4 linked regions of the Yarrowia lipolytica genome follow. The protein of the gene in region 2 purifies or fractionates together with the protein of the main gene of each other region. This does not show direct contact. Links are inferred from orthologs where the notes say so. Each region holds a gene or a part of one and is shown on either strand. Other genes may lie near its edges.

Region 1 (4,492 bases), on a different chromosome or scaffold from region 2:
GGTTTCCTCCCCCTTGATCTCATCAATACAGGCTCGCTTCATCCACTCGTCGTAAGAGACGCCCTGGGACTCGAGATCGGCAGCGACAGACTCCCAGTACTTCTTGCCCTCCTCGTCGGGGCTGGTTCCATCCTTGAGGAGCTTCTCGGACATGACAGTGCCAGGTCGAGGGTTCAGGAACGAGTAGGTAGGCATCAGGTACTCGTAGACTCGAGAAGAACACAACTTTCGGCACTCAAAAGCCTTGTTGGTTCGAGAAACGCCCCAGACACGCAGCTGCTCGGGCAGATGGCTGTTGATCTTCTCCACAATGTTCTCGTCCTCAATGATCATCTTCAGAGAGATGACGTTACCGGCGGCATGCACACCCTTATCGGTTCGAGCAGCTCGCATGAAAGCCGACTTTTTGGGGTCGTCGGCGTTGTTCTGAGAGATGGCCCCGGCCTTGACAAAGGCCTGAAAGATATCACCCTCAATGGTCTTTTGGGGAGGATTCAGTTGCATGCCATGGTAACCAGTTCCACAATATCCAATCATACAGGCAACCTTTCGCTTGGGCTGTCGCACCTCGTCGGCCACCAGAGGACCGTCCGTCTTTCGACGTGTATCTCGGCCCTCGCCCTGCTTCTCCTGCTCTCGTTGTCGGTCGCCTCGTCGGTCCATCTTCTGCTTCTTGGCCTGGTGATCGCCTCGAGGTCGGTTCCAGTTGCCTCCCTTGCCTCGCTTCTGGCCGAGATCGTGCTGCTCAGCCGAGTCGCCGGACGCACTGTTGCCGACGACGGGGGTGGTGGTAGGTTCGCTCATGGTGACGGGGAAAAATCGGCCTTTCAACGGAATCAGACGTTTGATCACTTGCAAAAAATTACCTTTCATGCAGTAGAATATTTTTCGCTGAGAAATGCGAACTACAAGTACAACAAGCTGTTCTGGATAACCATAAATCCGACAGCAAAGCCAGCATTACAGAAGCAAGAGCTTCGGGGCGAGCCCGTTTCTGGCTCCTCTGGATTTATTTGTAGTTTTTAATTCGATTTAATTCGGTTTTAAATCATATTTATGAAAAAAAAAATACAGGGCTGTACTCGTCATACTCGTACCTGTAGTAGCAGAATAACAGTTCCAAGATAACAGACACACTCCCGGTTCTCTCTTTGATGGCATTAAATGTATGTATATATAGAATTCATTACTTATTTCATGGATGAATTTCGAATATTTCTAAAACACCCCGAAAATCGACAGAAAAATATAAAAAATTTCCTTTTTTTCTCCCTTTTTTTTTTGAAAACTCTAATAAAAAAATTTAAACAAACTTCATCGTCATTGGACATGCAGGTAAATTTCAACTTGACAACAGTGGTATTGTAGCTACAAGTAGATAAATATGCCCTGGATAGCCTTTGGGCGTCAGTCCAATGATGGTTGGTCTGACGGATCTTCAACCAGTCATTTAAAACATGTTACATTACAATTTTGGTGCTCGTAAGCCAAGGTGTTGAGACAGGGTCAGACACAGGCTGAGATACTCCGTAGCCATGATCATAAGGCCGACTCCCTAGGGTTCAGTTTCGGTAGATATCAGTCATCAATTGAGATACCAGCCAACAATTGAGATACCAGCCAACAATTGAGATACCAGCCAACAGGAGATATCCGAGTTCAGGCCAGTCGCATAGCCAGTACAACGACCACAGGCAGCGGCATTCCAACAGGATCCAGCTTGAATCCGCTTATTTCTCCCACAAGGTGTAAACGAAAGAAAAGCCCTTCTCTTCCACAGGAGTATCTCGTCCAGGAAGCTCCACCTTGTCTCCCACAAAGTCTTGGAGACGTTCATAAGGCTGCTTCTTCCACAGACCCTGGTCAAAGCCCTCGAAGAAGGTGTCACATTCCACGTGGCCGTCGGGACAGGTAATTTCTGTCAAAAGCACGGCCTTTGTATGTTCGTGGACCAGCGCGGTCTTGTAAACCTGAGATCCGCCGATGACGTAAACGGTAGAATCCTCGGGGCACTTTGTAAGCGCTTCGTCGAACGACCGGGCGACTACAACCTCCTCGGGAGCGTCAGTCATGGGTCTAGAAGTGAGAACAATGTTGGTTCGATCAGGAAGAGGTCTGAACTTGGGGGGAATGGAGTCCCAGGTGGTTCGTCCCATGATGACGACGGCGTTCTTCTGGGCTGTAGTCACCTGTTTGAAGAACTTCATTTCTTTGGCTAGTCTCCATGGAAGTCCTCCATTGAGTCCGATGCCATATCGGGGCACTGTGGCTGCCAGAATGAGCGTAGTTGAAGGAGGCATTTTTGTCAGTGTTTGGTGCTGTTTCTTGTGCCCTGCCAGTGTACCAGTTGATCTGACGCGTATAATTTAGACTTAACGCGTGACCCAAATGGCGTAAATTAGCCTACCCAGCGGGGATTCGAACCGAGTGGATTTTAATCTTCAGTCCAATATGCACTGGTGGAAACACCACTGTCTGTGATCATCAACCCACAAAACCACACAAGACACACACACACACAACAATGAACGTGTCTACAAGTACTGTTCAGCAGCAGCGACGAAAGCCCACGACCGTCAACGCGGTGCAGGACGAGGATGCAGCCCAGCTGAAACTCGGACCCGAGTTCGACGTGACCCAATACACCCACGACGGGTTTGAGACCGCCCTCACAGCTCTGTCGACCTCAGAGGCCCGATCTCTCATTAACCATACGCTCAAGAAGCGAAAGAATGACGCATTGGGTATTGAGAACACGGAAGACGATACCCTGGACGACGAGGAGGAGATCAACGCCAATGACGTGCTGCGAAAGACCCGGGAGTACATGAACATCTTCTCGCGGTTCCGAGAACAGCAAAAGGTGGCTGCGGTGGCCCAGATTCTGCGTCACCAAGACAACGCCGATCTGCATCCGTTTGAAATCGCCCAGCTCGGAACTCTGTCGTGTGATGGAGCCGAGGAGGCCAAAACTCTGATTCCCTCTCTGGCTGCCAAGCGAACCGACGCCCAGCTCCAGGAGCTGCTGGATCTGGTCAGAGAACATGACCGAGAAAACTAAACGGTGCTGTATTATAAATGGTGCTACAAGGTGGGTAATATATATTGTATAACAGCGGGTATGTGGACCACAGGCTAATGTGGTACGAGTAGCTGATGTACTCAAAGAGATATGACACAACATGACTACGGAATTACCGAGTTCACACTGCCGTTTAAACGGTACTGTACTTACTGTCGATACATACACTTGTACCCACGAGAACACATGCCCAAACACACACAGTCCCTCCATTCATGAACATATCAGGTATTTTTCATTGTCGTCAGGATGCTCTCGGTTGGCTCCATCGCGGTATATATATTCTGAATCTTAGTAAGCAAAAAAAATGGCCAAAAAAGGCAAAAAAAGATCAGCCCGACGTGGGGCTTGAACCCACAGCCTTGAGATGACCTTAGAGTAAGAGTCTCACGCTCTACCGATTGAGCTAGCCAGGCGATTTTTCTTTTAAAAAAGTCGTGTTTATCCATATCCAGGATTTACTTAGTCAGCAAAAATTATAATAATAAAAATAAACGATTTACAAGTGTATGATTTATTGAATGCCAATAACCTGGCCTACTAGGTATATAGCCGTAATGAATCATTAGAATAAAATATATAAAAAAACCTCAAGAAACAGTAGCTGAAATGTATTTCCCTAGAATAAAACGAGAAAAAAAAGGGGGAATAAAACACCAAAAAATCGAAAAAATTGCTACCTGTCGCAGGTCTGGGTCAAAAGATCATAAATTCAAATTGAATGTCCTTGGAGATATGTTTTGGTTCATTTCAACTCGATTCTGAAATATTCTGAATATTTTTGAGACTAAGCTGTCAAGTATGGAATAAAGATAAAAGGTATAATCACCATAAAAGCAAATAAAATCAATGAGAGCACATAAGTGATGTTTTGTTCCGGATAAATCCTATGCAAGTCTTCTTAATTTGTCTGATCACTTCTTTTGGGCTTTATTCAAGATCTTCCCTACAAGTACTTGTACTAATACACGTACAACTTCATCATTAAATCTAGTGTTATTAAATAGGTTAGAATTACTTAGTTTCGCTTGGCTCGGCCAATATGGGTGTTGTTGACCTTGGTGGCGAAGCGCAGAGAATTGATGGTCTCGGAAGCATGAGCCTGCATGGGAGAAACGTTGACCAACATGAGGGTTTTGGAGTTGCCGCCAAGCGAGTACTGCAAGAGATACGTGAGCTTGGAGTTTCTGTAGGGGATATGAGAGCCCTCCTTGGCAGTTCCTAGAGCATGTATCACGTCACCGAGACACGCCAGAGACTTGTTGATGTTCTGTGTTTCTCGTAGTCGGTCCCCAGTAGCGCCACTGTGGTTGAGACGCTCACTGCCTGCCAGGTCGATGAGATTGAGACGTCCGTCGCAGGACTCCCCAGTCACGTGGTTCTGGCCCTTGAGACTCACGATAAAGACGG
Region 2 (6,290 bases):
TTTTTATTGGCTCACGGGGAGGAAGAGTAGAATATACTGGGATATGATAATCGGAAATAATTGGGGGAAAAAAATCAGATATAATTGGAAAATCGATATTGTTGCTCTTTGAGTAATAATACAAGTGCATCGTACAACATTACCGTACACGCAAAACATTGACCAGCTTGTGGAGGTACTGTACTTGTACTCTCGATATAGGTTTTATTTTATTTTATTTATTTATTTATTTATTTATTTTAATTATTTATTTATTTATTTATTTTTTATTTATTAATTATTTTATTTTATTTTATTTATCAATTTATTATCTATTTATGTCATTTATTTGTTTATTGGCTCAAATAACAGCCGAAATAGCCGCAAAAACGCTTTCAAGACACTCGCAAAGTTCAACGCTCCTCAAACCCTCTCAAATGACTCAAATGAGTCGTTGTTTCACGTCCGCCATTGGCCCTGACTGTGGTGCCTGCTGGATACAGGACAGGTACCTACCGTAATGGTGCAGTCGGTGCATGCATGTGTGGCGTACTACACCTACCAAAAGGAGATGACGGTGGTGATAGTATTCCCCTCAAGTCGCTAGAAATTTCCACTTTCCCCGTAGACTTCGAAACATGGGCCCATTTGTGCTAGCGGCACTTTATTGTCGTCAGTTGATGAACGGCTTCTCAACTGTGACTTCTGGGTGGCTACAGGTTCAAGTACTGGCTACAGCTAAAGCTACTTGTACAGTATGTCCAAAGTGGGGTGTGTATAGCATGTTCACAAGCCGCTTAGTCATCAAACCCCACATGACTACAGATGTCAAAAACCACTCGTCAAATCGTCGAGAGCAACAGATGTACGGAGCTGTACGGAGCTGTACCCAGCTGTATCCAGTTGTAGGGTGCTCGGAAGTGTTCAAGATGGTAGAATGGATTCTTGTTACGGATTTTTTTCACTGATTATTGCTGCAGATTGTGGAATTACAACGCTTATGGTCTCTCTCACAATCCCGACGCTCTCCAGATTCAAATGGTGTTGTCTGGGTCCACAGTATATACAGTACATACCTGTATGTGAATTCCCACTTGTTCCACATTAGTTGACTTTTGTTAAGAGAAAAAGTCGGCTGGGGGTTCAAATAAGAGGTTACAGAAACCGCCGGAAAAAGAGAGCAGAACCAAATTGTCCAGAAAAGTGACAGATCAATAAAAGTATTATATTCGGCCCCTTTTCATATAAAAAAACGAGATAATCATGATTCAAGTACCCCATAGATATTGCAATTTACTTGAATTTAGTTGGGAGAGGTCACGATGCCATCCCTCAGAGCTCAACCGAAGAATGACGAATGACAAACTGAATCCATTGATGCTCACCCCTGTCTTATGCAATACTGCTCATTATCTATAAATGTACCCGTGATCCGAAAAACAATTCCAAGGTGATAATCACAAAAAAGTGCTGCATTTCTGTCAAACATTCCTGTTATCGTAGTTCAGAGCGCATAGAAACTTTGCACATTACTAGAGTACACGGTAGGACGTGCTAATTACATCCACAACCAATAAAATACAACACCATTCCTAATATACATACTATTTATACACCTATTGCAACTGTAGCAATCACTCCAAATCAATCTCCATATCAACCTTGGGCTTCTTGACCGTCTCCGTCGACGTTTCGGCACTTTCGTCGTCATACATTGGTCCAGCTTCATACGGCTGGTTTTCTTCGCCCTTTCTTTTTCGTCCGTGATTGTCAGAGTGATCGCGGTCCGACTGACCTTGTCTACCACGTCGGTCGGATTGCCGCTCAGAGTCTCGTCGGTTACCTTGTCGACCACGGCCAAAATCTTTGGCCCCACCCTCCTTCTCCTCCAACCGCTTGACCACCTTGCCCATGTAGCCCTTGACAAACTCCTTGATTTTCTTGGCCTTCTCATCACTAATCTCAGTCATGGGCTCCGGACGTTTCAGCTCCTTGTCCACCAGAATCTGCACAATGTCCTTAGAACACTTTTTCGCCCGCTCCCGATCAACGTCGTATTTGGACACTTGATTGGGCACCACCTTGGCCAGCAGTTTAGTCAGCCGATGCGCCTGCGCGTTCACGGGCTTGGCAGACGCAGAAGGAGCCGGCTCGCTGTTATTTTTCACCTCCTGCAACCGAGCCTGCTCAATGATGCGCTGGAGATCACTCTCGCGCTGTGACTGCAAAGAAAGCGGCTCTCGGGTCTCGGAATTGTCCCGTCTCTCGTCTCGACGGTTGCCACGGGGACCCTTGGGGCCCTTGGGGCCCTTGGGGGTCGAGGGTGAGCTCGCACGTGACGCCTTGGGGAAATCCCACTGTTGGATGTTCAGCTCGAGATTGTAGTAGTACACCTTGCCCTGCGGGTCGTTCGCAAACTGCCAGCCCTTAGGCAGGCTCCTTGGAGGCACCATGGGTGATGCAGGCTGCTTGACGGCCTTCTTGGGGCCCTTGGGGGCTGTTTTGTTAGAGTAGGGGGTGGGGATGAAGGTGAAGGGGGATTCCGAGCGGGTGGACGGCGAATCAGTAACGCCGTTTCCGTTGTTATCTGCTTTTTTGTTCACCTTGACAACTTCCACATCATTGGGCTCCTCAGACTTGGAGCTCTCCTTGGTGACCTCCTCGCTGGTACCTCTAGAGACCGAATGCTCGTCTCCGTCGGGATCAATTTTTCGTCGTGGGATTCGGAAAGCCATTTTCAGGTTTGCCCATTCAGACAAGAGCTCCTGGGCAATGGTGGCAATGTCACTGTTGTCGTTGGACGTCAGGCTCTTGACCACGTTTTCAATCTGCGAACTGGAGATTTTGTTCTTTGTGATTCGCGGCCACTTTTGCAGGACTCGCAGCAGCATCAGCGTCACGTTCACGCGGTCGCTGTCGTCCAGCCCAAGAGGATTGTCGCCCCACGTGGCGGTCAGAATCTGCGCGAAGATCTGGTATCCATGCATCTTCATGACTGCTGCCTGGACGGACGTGTCTGTGCACAGAGCAATACGCTGCAGCATGAGGTTGACCTGCCAGGCTTCCTGGTTCATCATGAGAGACGCCATGACCTTGGACACGTCCTGCACGGTCAGGTCTCGGGGTCGCAAGTCCTCGGCCGACTTTTTGCCTCTCAGAATGGCGTTGATATCTCTGGACGTGAGACCCAGAGCAGCGGTCAAGGTGCCGGAGACCTTGCTGGCGCTTTCCGTCTGCGTTTTTCCGCCGAGAAAGCCGACACAGTTTTTCTCGCCGCAGTAGCACGCCTGGGCCTCGGCTCCGTACCGGTCCACGTTGTAGTCAAACGTGACCTCTTCTCCCCTTTGAATGTGTCGAGATGCGAAAATGCCCATTCTGAGCCGTTTGCCCACGACCCACTTTTCCACGTGGCCATTAGGCGCGCACGAATGGTTGCAGAACCGACCCAGTCCTCCCTTGGCGGTAGCGTCGATGAACTCGCCCTTTTGCAGCATCATAAAGTAGAAATGCTTGACGCCCTGGGTCGTGTAGATGGCCGTTCGCTCCTTGAAGGTCGGCTCGTCAATCACCTCGCCCACGTACTCGTAGACAAATTCGCCGGCGGCGATGTCCTTGGTGGCCCGCAGTCCAAACCCCTTCTTTTCTGTGCTGATCACGTCCACCGATGCGTATTTTTTGCCCTGGAACCGTTTGTTCTGACAGCCCTTGCAGCACCGAACACACTCGATGGAAGTGAGTCGGTTGATGCACCCGCTGTCCTCGTCACACGCCGTGGGCCCGGGCTTACAGTCACACGCCATGACTTCCGCCTGCTGAGACGAGCCCAGACCCTTCATGTACGTGCACTCCGGGAGCTCCACAAATGTCTGAAGCGCGTCCTTGGTCACGTCGCGAGCATCGGGGAACAGCTGCGCGTTTATTGGTGAGTTGTTGCCCGACATGTCGATGTTGAGAGGGCGCAGGTCGTGATGGTGGAGAGAAACGCCGCTGGGAGGTTGTGCATATGTCGACAGTAGCACCACCAGTACAGATTATTGTATGGAGGTGAGGACGTGATTGTGCACGTGAAACGACCCAACCAGAGTTTGGGGCAACATGACACACAGATATATATATGTATATATATAATGCTACTTATCAGCACTTTTTTCAGCTGCTTTTCTTGCCATTTTTTCAACCCCCCAGACATCACACGATAGGCAATCTGATGGTGGGATGAAAAATACACGCAAAACGCCGTACATGCGCGTAATCCTAATTACACCCATGGAGACCTGTACAAGTTTAGTACAAGAAGCTACCATTATCAATCCAAACACGTGACCTAGCCGGAGCCCATACAGTCCAAACACGTGACCCACCCCCCCCGGCTCCCCCCCCGCCCCTTCCCCCCCTTGGCTCGGGTCACGTGACCGCCGTCTTTTTCTTTCGTTTCTCGGTGTGATTGATTGGCTCGTTAATTTTTCGGATCAAAATTTTCCAACCGGAAATCGAACTGAGACACGGTTGTTGGAGTCAAGACGATGACAGAACTGCTTCTAATCTTAACAATCTAGTTGAGGAAGTTAGTTGAAATTACTGGGGATGAAAATTCAGCTGGGGGTTCATTTACGGGGTTGTAGAAACGGTGGAGACTAGGAAAGTTGCTGTGTGGATAGTCGATCAGCAACTTGATAAGTAATAATGACTTTTGAGAATCTCTACACCACAATAATCAGAGATATCTTCATTTCAGCGTCTCGTTGTTGAGTGTGATTAGTGGAAGAAAAGTAAGATTTAGTTGGTATGTACTAGATGGGTGTAGGATTTGTACTGCAAAGCAGAAATAGAGCAGAAATGGTCTCCTAGCACCCACATCTCTCTCACTTGTACTCGCCGCTTGTTAGTCGTCATAAAAAATACAATTAACATTCTATACATAATTTTTTGTTAGACCGTTCCAGTGAAAGCCACAGCTTGGCTTGCCACTCGGTGAGCCGACAGTGGGATCTACAGTAGTCGTCGTGCCAGCTTATTTCATGCAGTAAAATCGCTTGCCGCCCTTGTTCTCAGCCTTGCACTCCCACTCCAGAGTAATGTCCAGATCTCGGTTGTTCTTCTCGTTGGGTCGGCAGTCAATGGATCCAGTCACCTCGTCACCGGCTCGCAGAGACACCTGGCCGTCAATGTAGAAGACAGTCTGCTTCCAGTGAGTGTACTTGGCATGGGGGCCGGTGGAGAACTTGACGGGGGTGGTGAGCTTGTTGAACTCAATGTCGAACCAACACAGAATAGCGTGGGCAGTGTCGTTGACCCGGGCCTTGAGGTCAAAGTTGGCCTTGAAGGCCAGATCCTCCACCTTGACGGTGTACAGATCGATCTCAAACACCTGGCAGGGGTTGGAGATGACGTGTCGGAGGTCCACGGTGTCGACCAGAGGCTCGGACAGCACAATGTCCTTGAAGGGCGAGTAGTCAAAGCCGTAGACGTCGTCCCAGAAGGACACCTTTTCGTCCTTGTACTCGCCGTCCTCCAAAAGAGCGGCGTAGATGGTGGACTTGTCGGGCATGATAATACCTCCGGGGACCAGGTACTTGTCTCGGGCGTACAGCACCGTGTCCAGCATGGATTCGTAGAGCAGGAAGTAGCCCATCCACTCGGAGATGATAATGTCCACCTTCTGGTAGGGTAGGGTGATCTCCTCCATCTTGCCCTGGATCAGGGTAATCTTGTCGCTGAGTCCGTTAAGATCGACAATCTTTCGGGCCATCTCGATGATGTTGGACATGTCCACGCCCATGACATGCTTGGCACCGGCCTGCGCAGCAAACATGGACAGAATGCCGGTTCCACAGCCCACATCCAGCACAATCTTGTCCTTGAACAGGTCTCGGTTTCGCAGAATTGCGTGCTTGTACGACAGAGTTCGCGACTCGTCCTTGAGCATCTCCTCATGGATGCCAAAGTGGTCGTACGACGAAAAGTAGTGCTGCTCGGAGTATGGGAGGGACATTGTGGGTGTGCGGTAAGAGGTCGGGTCAACAATGGTGGTGAGAAGAAGAAAGCTTCTTTATAAAAATTTCCCAGCTATGCACGATAACTTTATCGACCAACCATGCAGGTGGGTCAGAGACCGAAAGAGGGTGTTGCGGCTTGAAAATGACGGTTTTTGTTTGTGGAATCAATTTCTACGGCTTCAAAAACCACAACGAAATATCCGTGGTCCAAATCTGACCACCATAACCCCCTCCTGACCGTGCTGTTTAGCTCAAACCATGGGATATTTTTCACAACACTCGCATGAACCCTGTAGGAGTCGAGAATGACGAATA
Region 3 (3,851 bases), on a different chromosome or scaffold from region 2:
CGACTATAGTTACTTAGAGAACAGTTTTAACTAAACTTCTAAGTAACTTCCAAACGAAGCTGAACTGAAGAGACCTCAACTTGCTGATTACTAAGGTTAATTTGATGATTTGAGGGCATTCTAGAAGATAACAATGGTCAATTTCAAATCTGTTTATGTTCATGAGGCTTTTATCCGCACAGTTCTCCCGGTTTGAACTTCAAGCTACAATTATACCAACAAAAAGTGTCAATAAACTAAGTAGGGGTCTATTACACCAACTGCAGAGTAAGGCGGCCTCTCCTCAGCGTAATGATGTCTATGTACATAAGATAACTCCATAGATCTACAAATTACGCGTACTAAACATCCGTCTGTCTCCCCGCAGCTTCCAATTCAACCAGTTCAAGTACTTGTATACTAGTGGTTCATAAGCTGTGTCGAGGCATTTCATCGTCAATAGATTGCGTCTGTCTGGAAGCAGGTGTCATGGAAGAGTCAACCCCTCATTTAACGGTAATTTCTTCTGATTCAATGACTCTAGCACTGTCTCCATTTCGTACCAGCTCTCTCGAAATGAGTTTACACTTGTGCTGAACAATCTGCTTAGTAACTCCCTCAACGATTCTCAGTGTTCCAAACCAATGCTGCTGTATTTCTGCTCTAGTATACAATATATAAATAACTAAACTATCTGGCGGAGAATTGGACTGCGTTAGTATTGGTTGATTGGGCTGGATTGAATTGGTGGAGCTTGCGATCAAGGCACCATAGTGATGTGAGAGGCAAGAGGCGGTAAGCAGTGGGACAGGGTATCCAGATAAGGCAGAGGGCACCAATAAGGCGTTTGGGAACTCGGAGCTGAGACATCGAGCTGAATCGAACAGACGATCAGATTGAAGCAAACAGGAAGCAGAGTGAAACACGGGCAGAATCACAGATACCCAGTTAGTGACGGATATATACAACAGAGAGGCAGAATCAGACACATTCAGGCTCGGATGGATTCAGACACAGACACAACCAGAACAGGCGGACAATCCCGACTTCAGGCAGAGCTATCAGGTAGAGCTATCGTCGCTCAGGCAGAAGTCTTATGATACCAAACACTGCACACTGGGTTTGGAGCACTATCCATGGTCCAGAAGAAACATTATAGGTCACTCTTGCTGTCGCCACGGATGACCTACAACTTTTCGACCTTATCCACGTATCGCTTCACTGGAATTTGTTGTCTGAACGGAACTGTTGAATCTGCTGCATCAAACCAACATCCAGATCCAGTAGCTACGTTTCCATCACTTTTCATGATGCTGCCCTTCAGCCCTCAACCACGGATTCGTCCGTGGCCCATATTCTGTCCTGTGTCGATTCGTAATGTTTCATATCTCCAAATAAGCCCATCACCCCATAAACGAATCGTTGAGTCCAATCTCTTCCTGTCGATTCTTCACTGCCACCTGTGACGCTTCTCCTTCATCACACTCTCCGTGTCACGCGCAGTGTATCCCCTCTTCACTCTCTCTCTCATGACACACTGTGACCCAGCTTGCCACCATCACACCATCAAACGCTGGAGGTAGCACCCACCGCGACGTCGCCACGGCATCTATAGCACACCCGCTTTACTCACCAGTGTAGTTGGCCCGCTCCTTGTACAAAACTCGATGACCGCATTCCTTGCATCGAACTGGATCGCCTCGGATGAGAACCACCTTGGACGAACAGTTGGCACACAGGTACTTGACGGCGTACGACTTGTTGTTGGCCACTCCGGAGGCGGAGGCAGACAGGTTCTGCGAATCAAGCGAAGGAGAAAACGATTCCTTGTTCATGTTGTGTTGCAAAGTTGAAGATGGAGGCGAAAATTCCTGCATACAAAATTAAAATATTTTGACAAGGTTTGTTACTAAGCATAGACTGTGAGCGGTAGGCGTAAGCTGTGCGAGAGGTGGAGCAAAGGACAAGATTGAAGTTATTTCGCGCAGTGAGATTTATTTGCGATATCCATGCTTTTGGTCACGTAATTACTCGTTGGATTATGTAATCAAAGATATCTCGTTCACGATTGTTGATTTGGAGGTGTATATTGAATGGAAGGTTAAGATTTTGAGACGTTAATGAGAACTTAAGAAAGAGCATCAAACGAGTTTGAGAGCATTTTGTGATGAGTGGAGGATTTCATATAGGTTACGAGCTGGAAAATATTCGTTTTCGCGAGCTATTTTCAGTGAATGCGGCTGAATTCAGCGAGTTCGAGTGTTATAAAATAAAGTTTAGAATTGTGTGAAATAAAAAGGAGAGACCGTTAATAGTGTGCTTCTGATCAGTATACTTTCTGGTACAGCATCTGATCTGATATCATATCATTTCAGATAGACCATTGAGTGCTACAAGGATCATATTGGTGTTAATCGAAGAGGTAGAAAAGTTGATACGATACACTAGACGAAACTATTCGAGTTTGTGTACAACATGCGACTTTCATCGTCACCCCATGGCCACCTTCATAGCACAACGGCTAAGAAGGTGAACATGGGATGTCTGCGAAGGTAAATATGGGATGTCTGCGAAGGTGAATATTGGATATCTGAGATTTCGCAAGACTCCTTGTTTTAAAGGGGAAAGGCTAGTGCAATGTTTCGTCCTGAAGACGCTCGGGATGTTCATACGAGGACCTCAGACGCAATAGCCCCTACGCAGTGGGTCTCAAACAAGACATTTCCTTCAGCTGTCGCTACCGCAGGGCAATCAAAAGCTGCGATAAGAGCGAGCCCCCTGTCTCTCCATCTCATCTCGAACGTACAGTAGGGTAGCTGTATGTACTTCAGCTGTGCCGTTTCTGAGAAATTTACATCATTCAGCTGCGCAGAATGAGATGGATTTGAAGTGTGCTGCTGCCGACAAAAAGGGAGCGGAAGAATCACTAGTATCTTGCTGGGCTTCACGTACCGCGGGGAGCTCGACAACTGTCTGCAGCGACTCATGGCTGAGCGAGGAAAACGACAAGCCAAGCGTCAGGCTATGGAGAATGAGTTTTCGTCCAACATCAATAAGATGGCCAAGGGAGTGGAAAACCTGCGTCAGGAGGCGTCCATCATCCAGCAGATGATGTCTGGATCGGCTCCTTCACTCAACCACTCTACCTCCCATCCTCACATGGATGTTAACCCGTCTACTTATTACTCTTCCTCTGTTTCCTTGCCCATGTTCCGGGGTGATTGAAAGGAGGGTTAGGAACGTTTTGTTTGTTTGCTTGCTTGCTTGTATGTATCTATGTATATAATGTATTTGATTGTATGTTAATGGTCCGGGGCGAGGTGGGATTAGTGAAAGGGTCCATTAAAGGGTGAGCCTGAAGATGGAGTAGGAGCTTCAGCAGACTCTGCATCTTCATTCGAGGGTAAAAGGAGAGTCATATACATGAGTGGAGCAAAAGACAGTTAAGTCAGGGTAAAAATCACACCGGGTTAAGTTTTTACCGCAATGTTCCCCCCAGCAGCATTATTCCATATGTAGATCCTCAACCTCCTCTTTCTTCAGCTCTGTGAAGAGCTTCGTGACTCCAGTGTCCAAAGTTATCAAGAACCAAGGACAGTGTCGGGCAGGGTCCGGTAATGAGGTAAGGATGGGTGTAAAAGAGGTTTACTGTAATATCCCCAAAAAAAATCACCTACAGTACTGTACTTTGTAATGAGCTTTCAATGCAGTGGCTACAGTACATACATTACATACTCCTGCATGCAATCATCCATCTGCATTATCGATAGTCCAGAGATTAGAACAGCTCAACATGCTCCTCTGCTCTAGAGGGTTCTATAGGGTAAACTGATACAATTCCATTTGATCCAGCCTATTATTCTACTCATTAT
Region 4 (4,572 bases), on a different chromosome or scaffold from region 2:
TGGGCTAACGAATGCAACTCCTTCTCCCGCTCGATAGGGTCAAACTCGGCGATCTTTCCCTTGAATTCGGGTAGCTGGTTGGCAATGTTCAGAAAGTCCTGGGTGCAGTACTTTGAGGTGGATAGGAAGAGTCTTCGTCCGTCAAACTCGGGGTTGAGAGCAGAAACATGGGCTTTGGCGCAGTCGCGCACGTCAACAAAGTAACCAGCTTTGACGGGAGGCTTTTGCCCGGGCTTGGTTTCAAAAGCGTTGGTTACAATGGCTTCATTGGAGGTGTTAATGGCCAGTGGATCGAGAATGATACCTGGACCGAGAATGAGCACGGGGTTGACCCAGGTGAGCTTGAACTTGGGTTTCTCCATCTTCTCAAACTCCACAGACGCCTTTTCAGCCATGGCCTTTGATCCAATATAGTTGGCATAGGGGTTGCCCTTCTCGGCCGCCTGTTCCCAGGTGATGGGGTTCCAGTCCTTCTCGGTCAGGGTAGTGGAGGGATCGTTGAACGTGGCAATGTTGAGAATGGCAGCGAGCGAAGAAGTGATAACCACCTTCTCGACGTTGGGGGCATGGTCCTTGGCTGCCTTGAGTACGGTTGTAGTTCCTTCGACCGCTGGTTGGAGCATCTCCTTCTCGGGGTCAGTCGTGTTGTAGTTGAAGGGGGAAGCCGTGTGCAAAATGTACTTGATCTCGGGATGTTTTTCGAAAATGGCCTTGAATTCACCGGCGTTTCTCACGTCGGAAAGCGTTTCCAGCTCCAATTGGCCTGAAGCAATCTGCTGCTTGAAGGCCTCAGCCAGACGTGCGGCTTTGTGGGGGGATCGAACCGTACCGATGACTCTATGACCTGCGCTGAGCAGCTGGTCGACCACGTGGCTGGCCAAAAATCCAGTGGAGCCGGTGACGAGAGAAGTTGGTGGCATGTTGACGGAGTTGTATGACGGAGATGTCATGATGACACACTCTTCATCTGCATTATGTTTAGGTTGATAATGCAGGCGTCGTGGTTATTAACCAACACGATACACAATTCTATACGGCGAGATCAGATAATAGTAAAAGATGGTGCTAAAATCAGTCAAGGAGTTTCTGCTTCGCTTCTCCACTTACTGGTCAGTCTATCGCCGTGTTTGTAGCGATCGTAATTGTCTCCATATCTCCTTCTAGTGATTGCACTTCTACCTCCAGTTCATATAAATATGTATTATAGTACACTAGACCAAACCCAGATAATCCTCCTTGATAGTACCAATGGCAAACATTTCTCCCACGTCGGCTCGCACTCCGACAATCTTCAGTCGCACCCGACTTCCCTTTTCAATGACCTGATCTTCACTGACGTATGCTGGTGGGTTTGCGCTAGGGTTGAACTTCATGTCAGGAGGAATCAGATGGGACGAGACAAACACGGACAAGGGGCCCACGTCGCCAAAGAAGCCCATCTTGTTCACGTTGGTCACTATCGCATCCACCACCTCGTTTTTGAACGGTCTCCACACAATGGCTCGGTAGTTGACTGTGAACTCGGCCGAGCCGTTGGAAGGCACCACTCTGCCTTTGCCAATGTCGAACGGCTGGTCCAGCACGCACAGAATGTAGCCGAATTCTCCGGTGCAAGTGCCCTCCACGTCCGCCAGCAGCTTGGACCGCAGGTATTGGCCCATCTGGGGGCCAAAGTATGACGGATGCAGAGTCAGAGAGAGCGTCAAGTCTTTCTGCGTTAGTTCTGTGGAAATTTGGCAACCTCGTTGTGCCAAGCTCCGTTGGAGTCTCCATCGCCCGTCCATCGCCTGGTAGAGGCTTCAAATTTGTAGGATAAAACAACACGCTTGTGGTGCTCGTGCTCGTGTGGTTCCGTGCTGAAAGTGTTATGTCATGTGTACAGCTGAAGAACCGAGTAGACACTCAGCTGAGATAGGAGACTTCGTCACATGCTCACTCCTCCATCCCTCACCTCTCAACACCACGGACATGACACCATCCACCGTTCTCTCGTCGTCGAACATCACCATACCACAGCCCATCGAATCACGGGCCGATCTGGTGTCTGAACACGTGATTCCACCCGTCTGACATCATCCATTCATGTCTTTGCGCCTGCTTCGCCTTCCCATACTCACAACAAAAAACATGCCGATGGTTTCTGGAGGTCTTGACCGAGTATCTCTCTTGACGAAACTGTGAAGCTAAAAAAAGGTGTTTTGGGAGAAGCTCGAGACATGTCGTAGAGGCGGTGTAAATAGATGTGTTGAGAATAAATGTCTTCGGAACCTGGTTCATTCTCAAGGATGCAGTATTGTGCAATGTTGTATTGAGCGGGTTTGGTCAGAGTCGCCGTACCGTGTCTGATACCGCTAATACTGCTTCAGCTGACTGTTGTGGACTGCTGCTTATTAATCATAGTATCTCCCACCTCCACTGCAATAAAGTTGCTGGGTCACGTGCCACTCGGGGTGTTTTATGTTAAGGATGATGGGTAAATGTGAAGGAGTATTGTACGTAGCGACGACTGTGTGGGAAGTGAGGTGCTTGTAATTGGAGAATGACGATATCCGACGGGTTGAACAGATCTTGTATAATTGTTGGAGTCAGATTTGTGTCTGTTCTTTAACTAATTAGTGGTTGTAGATGCACGTTACTTGAACTGTTGGTCAGTATTGGTTGAGATGAAGCTGTGTGGTGTGTCTACTCTACAGTGCGAGTGGTGTTGTGATGAGTTGTAAAATTCATTTCTATAAATAAGTGTGGGCGTCTTACTTCTGTTGTTGGACGCCAGTGGCTCCCAGAGTGAACTTGAATGGCTCCTCGCAGGTGTAGTTAGCGCTGCCCAGAAGGTACACCTCCTGGCCTCCGACTACAGCTCCGTCTTCGGAGGTGCACGAGTAAAACTCCTGAGAGCCCTTGTAGTAGACCTCGCTGACAAACGAGCCTCCTCCCTGGATGAGCCAGCCAGCGGTGGAGTTGGAGGAGGTACTGGAGGGCTGCGAGACAACCAGCTGGCCGTTTGCAGCAACAGTAATCTCGCCACCAGAGGGTCCGTTGGACACAACAGCCAGCTGCTTGTCCTTAACGTCCACCTCAAGTGGGGAGACGGAGGAGTTGCCCTTCTCAAGACCAAAGACCACCTTGTTGTCTCTGAGCTGGAGAGGCTTCATTCCCATGGCCCCGGCGCCAGGGTGAAGACGAAGGGTGAATCGCGTAGCAGAAGGACTGTTGCTGTAGTCCTGAACAGGAGCTGCAAAGACACCAGTGGCAGCTGTGGCTAGGGTGGCGTAGTACTTGAAGAACATGGTGATGGTGAAAGTAGTTGTGAGGGGAGTGCGATGGACTGAGAGCAGTGTCCACTATTTATATATATCTCACCACTCAGATAGACTACCGTATACAGCAATTGTCACAGAAGATACTGTATAACCAGCACATTGCATCATATTGCAGAGGAGTATCAAGAGATGGATGGTCCTGCATATGTCAGGTACCCGTTCTGAAACGAGGGGCTGTGCAGAGAGAGGTGTATTGTGGTAAATGAAAGAGCGATTGAGAAACAAATGACGCAAATCAATTGATCAATTCGTCACAGGGACTCTTTCGAATAAAAATTCAACCCCGTATGATCATCTCAACCTCATTCAAGCGGTGCTATCCGAAGACGATTGAGTTCAACCGAACACCATTGTGATGAACATCCTACTGTATGAAGAGAGGTACAGTATGTGCATAACAGTGTAGTAAGTGAAGAAAATAGGAAGACATTGGGAGTCGTACATGCGTGAGAATGTGTTACAGATGGAGCATGATACAAGTGTTTGCTTCTTTGGAATGAGCACCTATCATGCCATGCTACCCCCTTCCTACATGCCATCTTCAACTTTTCTGTCTCGATCTTCCTCATTGTAAGATATCGGTTCAAGGTCTGATGATGAGCAGTATTTAATGCAATAGTTCAACCTCCGATCTTTCCCTGATCATCCATGTATCGCTGTTGATCATGTTTACTTCTGACAGTGCTGTTACACAGTGCTCCTCTGGCGTACACTGTTCCCTTCCCTATCAAGGCTGTGTCTTTGAGGTAGGAGATTGCACCAGTGTCTCATCAATCAGGGAATGTGAGACATACAGCGGGTCAACAGCGGAACTTTTGGGATGGCACTTAGGGTGTTTCTTCAGCCAACTTTCAACCGCCATCTTCCAAGTTTGTACGAATACGTTTCCAGTCGTTTGTTAAAGCACCCAACTGATAAGTCAACTAACTAATACGGTTTACTGGACGAAGAGATGGTGTGCTGAGTGACGGCGTCCAATGGGTAGATATAAAGCAGAAAAGAGAGCCAACTAAATCAAATGTCTCTTCTTTGCCTTCCAAGATGACTCCCCGTCTATTGACGTTGTACGACACTCAAGTAGTCAAGTCACTTGTACCGCACTCCACTAACCCCGCTATCAACGCCTTATGCATCAACTCAAAATAATTATCTGGCATCAGACAACTCCGTGATATCAACCCAACACAGCATGCTTTCAATTCGACGAATCGCAAGTCAAAAGCCGATTTTCCAAACTTTGGTTTTTCGCCAG

Evidence for each region.
Region 1: the proteins of YALI1_E21962g (region 2) and YALI1_C17949g purify together in Saccharomyces cerevisiae (affinity purification with mass spectrometry; 3 studies listed by BioGRID, with this or other methods). This does not show direct contact. The link is inferred for Yarrowia lipolytica from reciprocal best matches to the Saccharomyces cerevisiae genes SET2 and RPB4.
Region 3: the proteins of YALI1_E21962g (region 2) and YALI1_C28063g purify together in Saccharomyces cerevisiae (affinity purification with mass spectrometry; 3 studies listed by BioGRID). This does not show direct contact. The link is inferred for Yarrowia lipolytica from reciprocal best matches to the Saccharomyces cerevisiae genes SET2 and RPC10.
Region 4: the proteins of YALI1_E21962g (region 2) and YALI1_D14462g purify together in Saccharomyces cerevisiae (affinity purification with mass spectrometry; 3 studies listed by BioGRID, with this or other methods). This does not show direct contact. The link is inferred for Yarrowia lipolytica from reciprocal best matches to the Saccharomyces cerevisiae genes SET2 and RPB7.

The regions. Positions count from the first base shown.
Region 1 is NC_090772.1:1,792,411-1,796,902, forward strand, and holds YALI1_C17949g (uncharacterized protein), read left to right. Parts: upstream 1-2,524; coding exon 2,525-3,061; downstream 3,062-4,492. Other genes in the region: YALI1_C17932g (uncharacterized protein), read right to left, coding at 1-873; YALI1_C17947g (uncharacterized protein), read right to left, coding at 1,731-2,300; YALI1_C17988g (uncharacterized protein), read right to left, coding at 4,101-4,492. UniProt on the Saccharomyces cerevisiae protein: DNA-dependent RNA polymerase catalyzes the transcription of DNA into RNA using the four ribonucleoside triphosphates as substrates. Component of RNA polymerase II which synthesizes mRNA precursors and many functional non-coding RNAs.
Region 2 is NC_090774.1:2,192,347-2,198,636, forward strand, and holds YALI1_E21962g (uncharacterized protein), read right to left. Parts: upstream 3,921-6,290; coding exon 1,614-3,920; downstream 1-1,613. Other genes in the region: YALI1_E21983g (uncharacterized protein), read right to left, coding at 4,991-5,971. UniProt on the Saccharomyces cerevisiae protein: Histone methyltransferase that trimethylates histone H3 'Lys-36' forming H3K36me3. Involved in transcription elongation as well as in transcription repression.
Region 3 is NC_090772.1:2,804,317-2,808,167, reverse strand, and holds YALI1_C28063g (uncharacterized protein), read right to left. Parts: upstream 1,857-3,851; coding exon 1,605-1,856; downstream 1-1,604. UniProt on the Saccharomyces cerevisiae protein: DNA-dependent RNA polymerases catalyze the transcription of DNA into RNA using the four ribonucleoside triphosphates as substrates.
Region 4 is NC_090773.1:1,444,450-1,449,021, forward strand, and holds YALI1_D14462g (uncharacterized protein), read right to left. Parts: upstream 1,785-4,572; coding exon 1,212-1,784; downstream 1-1,211. Other genes in the region: YALI1_D14453g (uncharacterized protein), read right to left, coding at 1-950; YALI1_D14477g (uncharacterized protein), read right to left, coding at 2,751-3,287; YALI1_D14489g (uncharacterized protein), read left to right, coding at 4,510-4,572. UniProt on the Saccharomyces cerevisiae protein: DNA-dependent RNA polymerase catalyzes the transcription of DNA into RNA using the four ribonucleoside triphosphates as substrates. Component of RNA polymerase II which synthesizes mRNA precursors and many functional non-coding RNAs.